2 linked regions of the Drosophila melanogaster genome follow. The protein of the gene in region 1 interacts with the protein of each later gene in a pairwise test. Each region holds a gene or a part of one and is shown in the gene's direction. Other genes may lie near its edges.

Region 1 (5,914 bases):
AAGTAGGTCAATCTGAATGCGGACAGGCCTCGATAGAAGCCACCACGGAGGTTGGTAATGCTTGAATTCTAACGAGAATCCTAACCAATAACATTACTACTCCAAATTTCAGGTGGGCCTTCCAAGTCCCGTGCCAGCACAGCCGAAAATCCTCAGCCGGACTGACCGCACTGTAACCATCGAGTTGTCGCCCATTCGGAATGACAATGGACCGCTGAGCAAACTGCTCGTCATCGTGGAATACGTGGACAACGCCCTGAGTCAGCCATTCGATGCCCAGCTCCTGGGCAGCTGGCAGCAGGCTCAACAAGATGGAGTGCCCTACTACATAGCCGCCGAATTGGACTACGATCGACCGGAGGACAATCGCACCCGGCGCTTTGTGGTCGGCGATGGCAAGCGTTACGGACGATTTACCAATAAGCCGTTGGATCAACCAGATGCACATGTCCACATCAGTCTCGGATTGGTGAGTAATGCATTAAATTCGAATGAATATCTCTGTAACTATTTATATTCTAGGTGAGCACACTGGAGGGCGTTACCAAGACGATGTACAGTCGTGGAACTCACGACCAGCATGTGACATCCCTAGACGACTTTAGTTACGCCACCTTTGAGAAGGGTCAATCCTCGGTGGTTGCCCTAGCTGTCACCTGTGTGATCTTCGGCTCCTGCCTCCTGCTCAGTCTTATTGCCTACTTCTATCTGCGCTACAAGACCTGCCGCGGGCGACGATTGACTGGTGGCAATACGCACGAGATGACGCTGCAAACGCCCATAATCGAGCGGGAAAATAACGGATACCTTGTGGAGGACGATCCACTGCCACACTCGCCGGAAAACTTCAAGCAGCAGTTGCAACAGTTGGTGGAAGGATACGAACGGATACCAAGGAATGCACTACGACTAAATGTGAACGATGTGATCGGAGACGGACGCTTTGGTGAGATTATAACCGGAAAGGTTTCCACAAACGATTTTGCCAGAGATTGCACCCTGCACGTGCTCTGTCTGGACGATCTGAATGGTACTACACAGGCACAGTTGCTGAGAGAACTACGTCAGTTGTCTCAATTGAAGCGCCAGGAGCATTTGCTAGATTTCTATGGAGTATCAGCAAGTCCCGATTGGTTCTACCTAATCTTCGAGCAGCAACGCATGAGTCTAAAGAGAAAACTGGTGGAGAGTCGCCTGATGGCACCGTCGCCACGCTTGACTTCCCTCTCTGAGCAGCTAGTGCTGCAGTGGATCTACGAGCTTGCCAGTGCCATGAATTATCTATCCAGCTGCCAGGTGGTGCATCGACAGCTCTGCTCGCACAGCGTCTTCGTTACCAGCGATTTCAAGCTAAAACTGAGCGTCTTTGGACCGCTGCCCTACATGAACATTGCTCGCCAGCAGCCAGACCACAACCGGTGGCTGGCCCCGGAGGTGCTGCGCCATCAGCATCACCATTCCACCCGTTCTGATGTCTGGTCCCTGGCCTGCGTGGCGTGGGAATGCTGTGCCCTTGGCGGTACTCCCTATGCCAATGCAGTGGCAAGTAACCAACAGCTTCTAGAGGCCATTCGGGCTGCAGTGCGTCCGGCGCAGCCAGCCTACGTCTACGGGGATCTCTACCAGCTGCTGCTCAACTGCTGGCAGCTGGAGCCGAGCGAGCGGAGCAGCTGTGAGGACGTGGCCTTCGGAGTACGTCAGCTGATGACCTCACCGCGTCATGCCCTCAGCTTTGATCGAGTGGCCGGCGGACTAGACACCCTGCCTCCGTACCTGCCGCAACTGGAAGCCGTTGCTACGATGGGCTGAGGTGCAGCCGAATAGTATAATTAGCTTTAGTCAGCGAGAGACCACATTCGCATAGAGTAGATTTCGGTTCTGAGTCACTGCTGCTAAGAGAAAACATCACTTCATTTCGATTTTAGATGAGTTCACTTTCAGTGTTCTGAAGAGAAAATAATTTGTTTTAGAATTTACACATTGATTTAATAAAGCTCATAAATTGTTATTATCCATATAATATTAGAAGTGAGCATTTATGAAACACAATTCGATGTTTATTGTTAATACGCACAAACTTCCTACAAATAAAAGAGTGTTCTATGCCAGAGCTTATCAGATCTATAAGGTAGTTAATTGCTTATCTACAACCCGAAAGAAAGGAATCGACTTTCCCCCACGCGAAACAAAGTTCAAGCGAACGTGCTCGATGGAGAGCGCGATAGATAAAAGACTACTGACAGTCTGGCCCCCAAAATTGTGTAATAAATTGAGGGATCCATAGCGAATGGATCTACCAACAGACCAGCGACTGTGATTCCCCCGCCGATCGCTGATGTTGCACAAACCAGACAAAAGCGAAAACTAAAAGCAAAAAAAAAACCAAGGGAGAGAGCCGCGAATGCGAAACTTTGATCGCTGGCGAGCAGCAATTAATAATAGAAAATAAACGGCGGTGTTGCTTAAGTGTGAGTGGATCAAAATTGACGATTAATCAGTTTAAAGGTCTTGCATTGCATCTATTGTTTGTTATGTTGTTTAAGAATTAATTAGGGAAATTGTTGGCAGCAGCCTAGATGCGGTTACATGCATTATTAGTCATCCGAAATAGTAGGGCACTTTATGTATGTATATTCCATTGGTTTGGACAATCATCTTATAATGAAGCTACATAGCAAAAAAAAAAAAAAAATCTAAATCTGTGTATATTCTTCCGATATGCACTTTTCAAATGAAATGTTCAAAATTCGTTATCAGTACTTAAAATTTCTCACTATGTACAAGCTTATCTCGGGATCCTTCCCAAAGAAGATAAGCCATTGTTTCTCTTGTCGACGTGTAACTATTGGATCCACCAAAAAACCCAAAGCACATGGCTCACCCGGAATTTAGAGCGACTTTCTTATAGAGTATATGGTAAATACGGTAAATGAAGCGCAACGATATCCATAGCGACTTTTGGACGCTTACCTTGCCCGCAATTCAAGGTGAAATGACGACGAACAATTGAAGTCACTGAAATGTGTATACATTCCGAGCAAATGGGCAATTATTATTAATAAATCGAGCTGAATGGCTGCTATCGGAATTCAGGGGCTTCGACTGCCGACCATGCTCATGAATATGTGGAAGATGATGATGATGATGAGGTTCATCCGGTATTGGCCAACTTTGCGAGTGTTTTGCATTCGCCTGGTTAAATTGTTATTGTTTTTGTTACATATACACACATGGAGATTATGAGGAATCCAAGGAAACTGGTTGCTCACACACGCACACCAACGCACTGCGACGGAGCCACTCACGCACACTACCAAATGGTCGGCTAACTGCGCAAATAATGCGGCTTCTGTGTCGGCCTTTGTTACTCACTTTACTTAACCATTTACATCGGACACTGGACTTCACTGCGCTGCGATTTTTCGACACTTTGGAAGCAGAAAAGTACGTATTTTGTTTGTGCTCTGCCAATGGTGTGACCGTACACCGTTGGGCGAAAAATCACCTATAAGTGTGGGGGTGAAAATTCATTAGCCAACACTGAAATGCTTATCGATAACATTTAGCTATTTTTAGTATTAGCTAACTGGTATATATTAACGGTCATCATAAGGTCACACTGCAAACGGTTAAACGAACGGCCACATTGTGTTGGACCGATGATGTGGATTTAAAAGTTAAATATTTCAAACTTAGTTATAGCAAATAGCTATGGACATCACCCAGAGCTTCAAGGCCAGCGTAATGACGGTGCGCCTGCAGCGCAAGGCCGAGCTGGCCGGAAAGGCCAAGCCCGCCACAGTGCCGACAAAAACTGGACCAATTGGCCCAAAGGATGACTTCGCCAAGCAGGCCAAGGAGGTGTGCAACAAGATCACTTCGCTGCGCAATGTGCTGATCGAGAACCGCACCGCCTACATGCGCATTGGCCAGCACCTCAAGTCCGCCGCACACATGACCGACGCGCAGCGGGATCTGATTGATCGCGAGTCGGAGAAGTTCGTCACCTTTTACACGCAGCACCTGGCCAAGATGCGCAGCGATTGGAAGAGCGCCAAGCGGAAGCCGCAGGAGCGTCAGCACATCGACGCCGTGCTGGACCTGCTGGTCAGCTATTTGCACAGCGTGGAACAGATCTATCTGGACCAAAAGAAGTACCGTGTGCAACACGAACTGGAAACCTATAGGCTGCTCAAGCTGGCGGCGGACAAAAAGAAGATACCAGTGCGTCCGGCGGGCAGCAACAGTGGCAAGCTGGGCAGGCGCCAGGTCAGCAACGATGACAGCGAAGCCACGAAGTCATCTTCACAAGCAAATGGCAACCACGACGAGTCCGCCGACAATGACTGGAATAACGACGCCTGGGGCGACTGGGATGAAGACGAGGAAGGCGACGAGGTGGACGATCACGATGGCGAGAAGGGCAAGGAAGCCAATCAGGCCAATCAACACAAACCGCGTACGCGCAAACGAAGCAAAGCCAACAGATCGGATCTGAACAACTCATCCTCCAAGATGGCTCTGGATGAGGAGCTCCAGCAGCAGCAGGAGGCCGACGATGACGATCCCCTAAGCGCCGAGGATGTGCAGCTCTTCGAGGCGGAGAACGTACACATCTACAACTTTCTGCAGGGCGTCTCCGAGGAGGTGGAGCAGATCGAAAAGAACGTGGTAGACATTGCCCAACTGCAGGACATTTTCACCGAAAAGGTAAGATGGCATGATAACACAAGTCCCAAGGAATCCTTGCTGTTCTTAACAACGATATCTTTAGTTTAATTTTGGTGAGAACATATTGCTCCATATTGCCAAGAATACTTAGTGGGTTTAAGTGGCTGCCCATATGTTTGTCGACTTAATCCTTCAATTAAAAATATTAATTGGCTTCGCTAAAATCCACATCCTTCGCGATTACAATGGATGTATAAGCCGGGCTCTTATTAGCATGCAATTAATTATTAACTAGATCCAGATAGATCCACGTCCTAATCTCATTTAATCCTCTTAAATTTCCCTTTCCCTTTTGTAGGTCGCCATGCAACAGCACAATATCGACAGGATAGTTAGTGCCGTCGTGGGCACCACGGAAAACGTCAAGGACGCCAACGAGCAAATCCGGCAGGCCACTCAACGAAATGCAGGACTACGCGTGTGGTCGCTGTTCTTCCTGCTGGTCATGTCGTTCTCCCTGCTCTTCTTGGACTGGTACTACGATTAAGTGAAGTCCCCAAATTTATGTGTAACCCACCCAATTTAGGGAATGATAAATGCAAAAATGTTTTGTTATCGTTTGATCGCACTAAAAGCATATTTTGTTTATTACATAATTTATAAATAAAAGGAAAATATTTGTTTAGGCTATTCAACTGCCTTGTTTCAATTCAATGAAACCTCGTACAACAATATGGAACTAAAATCGATTTGAGCGCCTTGCTCACACATGTCTCAGTAGTTAATTTAAATTCTACACCAAAATGTGTTTTAGTGTGTTGCTTGGTACATTGTTTATATCTAGGTCCTTAGTCATATTATTTTCATTAAACGCTCTTCAAAAAAATATATATATATATCTAACTGGGAACGGAAATCAGCAATAAGTATGTATATGTATATATATGTCTAAGGCCTAAAGTTAACCTTTGCGTATTTCTTTCAGTTGGTTTCATTACATGAATGTCTAGATTCTAACTAGCTTAGGTCTAATATTTTGTAGCCTTAAGATTTGTGTCTGAGGGAGTGTATCCTTGGCTTAGTCGCTAGGTGTTCTTTTGTTTTTAGTGCAATATGGGATTGCATTCAATGCAGTCTGCTGGTTCTTTTGTTTTCTTTTCATATTGTTTAGAATAAGAGTTAAGAGTTACTTAATGATTGGCTCTCCAATGGGATAAATGGAAGCTATTCCCCACGGAGTGTG
Region 2 (5,677 bases), on another chromosome or scaffold:
AATTCATACAAATTCAACAAAGCTAGTCACAATTTAAAATGAATCCACATCTTCACAGATGTATTCAGCCCACAATCAAAATGTTAAAACTTTAGCTCATATTAAATCTCGATGTAGCTTACAACCCTACAAGGGGGTACATACATATATGTGTATATCCGAACACCTGGTATTGCGGCCCTGCTTCGGCTCGGGCACACTGTTCCACCGCTCGCCCCTTTTTTTGGGGTGGTTCCGACTCGCAAGCAGTAGTACTTTCGGAGCGACAGACCAGACCGGTTTGTTTGTGTTTTGGTGCCGTGAAAAATCAATCGAGAGCAGAGCAGCTGCAGCAGGAAAATGGCATCCGTGCGAGGCAACTCCGTGTACCAGGGCGTCTACGGGGCTCTGAGGACCCTGCTCCACCTGACGGCAGTCGTGCAATTTGGCTACGGCATCTATTACGACTACAACTACGTGCAGTTCCCCACCAGCGAGCCAGAGATGAGGATCCATCATCCCTGGGGGGGCAAATTCAAATACCTAACGTTCCTGGATGCGGTAATATCCATCTCCCATTAGAATCACGAACGCAGCGTGGTTTAAAGTTCACTCCGATTGTTACTTGTACGCACGCATCTATTAAGATACACAGAGAAAATGAATAGGACAGTAGTTAGAATCATGGGCTTTTCTTGAGTGATGAAGAGGATTTGTCAAGGTCTCCAGTGTATAAAAGTTAGAGCTTTTTGAAGATCTTATATGGAGAACTTTCGCTAAAGCAGTTTTTACAATAAATATATATATATACCATTCCACTGCAAAGCAACTAATTGAATCCCTCCAAATTCAGTGCTTTACTAACAAACTCACATCTCGCCTCCTATTGTCGCTGAAATTGTACAGGAAATGCTTGTGCAACGTTTTTTCGCTAACTGTAATTCCTTCCACTTCACTTAAGCAACCCTTCAAATCTAGCCGCTTTCGCATTATCTCACACACGTCAAATGCTCTTGCACTTACAGATAATTCAGGCACTGTACTATATTGTATCGCTGGTCAACGATTTCGTGGGCACTAATGAGCTGACACCCAAGAAACCTCCGGCGGTTCGCAGGTTCAAGGACTGGCTGATGGCTACATTGGCCTTTCCAGTGGCTATCAATGTGGGCGTGACCTTCTGGACACTGTACGCTATCGACAGGGAGCTAGTCTTCCCCAAGGTTCTGGACCCCGTGTTCCCCAGGTAAGACCTCGAAAGCTGGTGATATCAAGGTGGCCTGGCTGGCATAAGGCATATTCTGCTCAACAAATTGAATCATGACCAGATTAGCATTCTAAGCATGTCTAATTCAAGCCATATCCATTTTCTATACCACTGACATGCCTATTTACGGTATTGTGTTAATTGTGTTTCTTTATATCCAGGCTTTTTAAGTTCGATTTAATTGGAACTATATCTTTCAATTATATATATATCCTAACAAGTACTCATACATTTGAAGGAATTAGATCAACGTTTTTCCTTTCATTTCAGTAATAAACCATCTTCATAAAATGCTACTTAGACACTAAACCTTAAGACCCTATAATCTCGTTTTGGGGCTCTGGTTTTACTTTCAAAGTAATTAATTTATTCAGATAGCTTGCTACGACAAAGCTTGAAAGATGTGTACGTCATAATATATTTAGGGATAAAATTAAAAAAGTGGTCTGAAAAGTCTTGATTTCACCCATTGTTTTTTCATGACACTCTGATAATATCTTCGCTCGACTCTTTCAGCTGGCTCAACCACGTCCTGCACACCAACATAGTGGTTTTCATCATCCTGGAGCTGTTCATCTCGTACAGGTCGTACCCAAAACGAAGCCAAGGACTCGCAGGACTGGCCATTTTCATGGGCGCCTACCTGGTTTGGATTCACGTGGTGAAGCACTACTCGGGTGTGTGGGTGTATCCAGTGCTCGAGGTTCTCCAGCTTCCGCAACGCATCCTGTTTTTTGCGGCCGTCGTTGGATTCACGCTGTCACTTTACCTGCTGGGCGAGTTCCTCAACAATACCGTCTGGGCCAAGGAAGTGAAGTTGGCCAAGCGCAAATCCAACTAGGAGGCTGTGACCCGTTTCTGTTCGATGTAGTTGCGTTAATTAGCCACAAAATACAAATAGTGATTGACAGGTCTCGATTATACATTTTGCTCATATTGTTCGATCTTCTCAGCCAAAGAAATTTTTCATAAGTATGTAAAATCGTACTGCAAAGTTAACTGAAGAAGGCGTACAAAATATGTGAGAAATAATAAACGAAACTTGAAACATCAACTCGATAATATATTTTCCAGTAATATTGAATTCGGAGTCTTTAATCATAATATGGAAACCCGTTTGCTAATGATATTCATTATATTTTTATTACGCATACATTGTAACTGAAATTATAGCCGTAGTTTCCATTGAGCGCGCGCGTCTTTCGATAAGTTTACTAGACTAACCAAAATACAAAAATGCCTTCTCGATTAAACTTCTCATATCAAGCACACTGATTCAACGCCATCTTTGAATACCACTGTTATTCAATTCTAGTACCATAATAAAGCGATTAAACTCTTCATCAGCTGCGAAAACTGTTTTAAGGTGGGAAGCTTGGAATAAACTGCTTTTCAAGATCAGAGAAACGTCAAGTGGCGCTATCATATCGATTTGGCTTTAAAAAGCTAGTTCTAGCTTAAAAACGCCTCCTTGCTGGAATGAAACTCGACGTGTGTTGCGCCCTAATCAGCTGTTGGCTAGCTTTATTTGTTTTGTTTTGCTCAGCGTGCGGTGCCCTTTGCACCTTTTCTGGAGGAAATGGGCAAGAGCAAGAAGCAGGTGCGCGAGTTCAACGCCGCCAAGGAAGCTGTCGAGGCCACTAAAGCCCAGTTGAACACTTGCAACGATGCCTATACGAGCGGTGCCTTCAAATACCTGAGATTCCTGGTCCATCTCCTGGCGGCAGCGCAGTTTTCGTATGGGATATACTTTCACTACTTCCGGGTGCATTGGCCCACGGATTTGCTAGACGAGGATGAACTGAAGGCGCGGTGGGGCGGCAAGTTCAAGTACCTTACCTTCTTGGACGTCATTCTACAGGCCATCTACCACTCATTGGCTCTGCTGAACGATCTCTTCGGCGATAACAATGTCTCCGGGGATTCAAAATCCATGTTGCGATCGGTGAGGGACTATGTGTTCGCCGCCTTTGCCTTTCCTGTCGCCCACAATGTCTGCCTCTCGTTTTGGGTCATCTACGTGTGGGACCGTGAGCTCATCTTTCCCTCAGCGCTGGATGCGATTTTCCCCAGGCAAGTGTTTATGTTTTTCCGCCGGTTTAACTTGCGTACAATGCACAATGTTAGTCTGCTGGAGTCTCTTTTGTTTCGAGCCTGTCTAAACTTTCTGTTCATCAGGCGAGGCGAGTTTTGATTTACCTGTGTTTCTCAATATTTGCAGCTGGTTGAATCACGTGGTACACACGAATGTGGCCCTTTTGGCCATTATGGACCTGTTTACCTGCTTCCGCCGCTATCCGAGTCGATTGGCAGGCATCACGGGCAACGTCTCCTTCATCCTGCTTTACATCATCTGGCTGCACATTGTTCGCTACTTCAGTGGCGAGTGGGTGTATCCCATTCTGGAAGTGCTGCCCGCATACCTGCGCTACGTGTTCTTGGCACTACTTGTGGGGTTCAACCTGGTTTGCTATCTGCTCGGGGAGTTCGCCAACAACGTCGTTTGGGGTCCGGAGTTTAAGCTCCTAAATCAACAGAAATTAAAGCAAGGCTAGGACTCGAGGATTTAAAATCGTTTATTAGTTACACAAATTATTATGTATAATTTTGTAAACTTGAAGGCACTTTCTGAGGTACGATTTGTGTGCCCAAGAGGCTTATTTATATCGTACTTAAATCTATAATCTACAATCTAAAGTCCTGTACCCACGGCAAAGAAAAATAATGAAAATAAATTATTATCCTCTTTGGCATTTACTTTGGCGTGAGTACCAGGATTAAGGAAACAGTCATTCACAAACGTACACAGAGATTCGAATGCTTACAAGCTAGATGGGGTGATGAATCTGTAAAATAAAGTTGCAGCCTAATGACTATGAGTATTCGTAATTCGTAGTTCTAGTTTCGCTCAGTCTGTTCCAGTAATCGATTAAGAAGAATCTAAATGTTCATCGCATGTAAACTGCTCTGGCTTGTGTACTACAATTTCGTATTTGTTTGTTTTAAATATCATTTGGGTTTCCAATTCTAGTGAAGCGATATATTCTTATAAATCGTTGAACAGTGAACATAACAATATTACGATTTCGTAAAATAGATAAGATTGTACGATTATTTTCAGCGCTAACAATTTGATTTCTTAGAACAAAAACTACAATATTGTAAGAGTTTTTGAACCTTAAGTAAATGCATCAATTGCTTATTTAGTCTTGCTATTTTGAAGGCAGCAATAACATTTTGAGTTTGTCCGACTCGCTCATAAACGTGGGCTCCCTTTGATGCCGATGGGAATGACCCAACAAGCCCTGCAGCTCCGTTCCTCCGAAATCCTCATTGGCTGCTTCAGTTCTTTGTCTGCTGGCTGCGTTTAGGAGTCGCATGGCCTGCTGCAGTTCGTCTTCTCCGTAACTGGGAACTAGCTCGAAAGGATTAGCCTGTATGCCCACATCGCAGCTGGTTTTGCTGTTTCTACTATGTGGTTTGCCCATGGATATTCCAGAAAAAGAGCTGTTAAGAAGGCTTCCTACGTCCAAAGCCACATCCAGCTCTTCAGAGGAGCAGCTAAGTGAGTCATTAGACCGATACTTTACACAGTCCTTCCTGAAATCTAGATCAGCAGCAGGGTTCTTGAGATGTCTCTTTTGGGACTTTTTTGACTGACTTCTTGCGGAATTTCGGGAATGTCGGTTAGAATTGGATTCATTAGATTTTTTTATGTTTTTAAGAAAGTTCTCCAATGCCACCTGTTTGCTATTTGGCAGTTCTTCAATCTTTATTCCGTCGTGATCATCCTCACTTATTTCCTGCTGCTTTACAACCACGTTAAGATCCTGAATCTTTTGGGATGCTCTGGAATTATCCTCCTCCGAACTAGAGCTCATATCTTGATTTTGGAGGAATGGGAATATAAAATCGCCATTTTTCTGCAGGAATTCATTAAGAATAGAGGGATCCAATCCGGCATTAGCAGTCCTTCGCTTCATGGAGCTGGTGTAATTGTGTTGTTTCTTGGAGCTGTGATGAGCAAACACGCCCACTTTGTGACTAGCATTGGGATAGGTCGTTTTCTTGAGCGCGATGACCTGCGACTCCACTGAAGTACTGCTTTCCCTTCTCCTACTGCTTTTTCCAGTGGCAGCTGCTATATAATCCCTTCTCCTTTGGGTTCTTCTGTTGCTGGAAGAGCCTCCGTGTTTTCCCCTTGATCTGGACGCCACTTTGGTCTTCATTTCAGCTATTTTCACTGATACCTGCGAGTCCACCGAATTTCTGCGGGATTCAACGGAAACATGTCGAACACTCACACTTATCTCGGAATCCAATGAATTTTTTCGCGGTCCATGGCTTGACGAGTTACCTGTCGCTGCTCCCGTCAAAGCCATGCGACGTTTTACGCACTGCGGGAGGTATGCAGCCCAAGTTGATGAGATG

Evidence for each region. Proteins that work in one complex are often made in the same cells at the same time.
Region 2: the proteins of Syx18 (region 1) and CG11601 interact in a two-hybrid assay, tested with the Drosophila melanogaster proteins (one large-scale study listed by BioGRID).

The regions. Positions count from the first base shown.
Region 1 is NT_033777.3:24,623,271-24,629,184, reverse strand, and holds Syx18 (syntaxin 18), read left to right. Parts: upstream 1-3,622; 5' UTR 3,623-3,711; coding exon 3,712-4,710; intron 4,711-5,029; coding exon 5,030-5,218; 3' UTR 5,219-5,383; downstream 5,384-5,914. Other genes in the region: wsck, read left to right, coding at 1-50, 113-469, 523-1,809.
Region 2 is NT_033779.5:280,296-285,972, reverse strand, and holds CG11601 (uncharacterized protein), read left to right. Parts: upstream 1-2,777; 5' UTR 2,778-2,825; coding exon 2,826-3,319; intron 3,320-3,467; coding exon 3,468-3,801; 3' UTR 3,802-4,303; downstream 4,304-5,677. Other genes in the region: CG3625 (uncharacterized protein), read left to right, coding at 340-540, 1,005-1,225, 1,763-2,087; smo (smoothened), read right to left, coding at 4,459-5,677.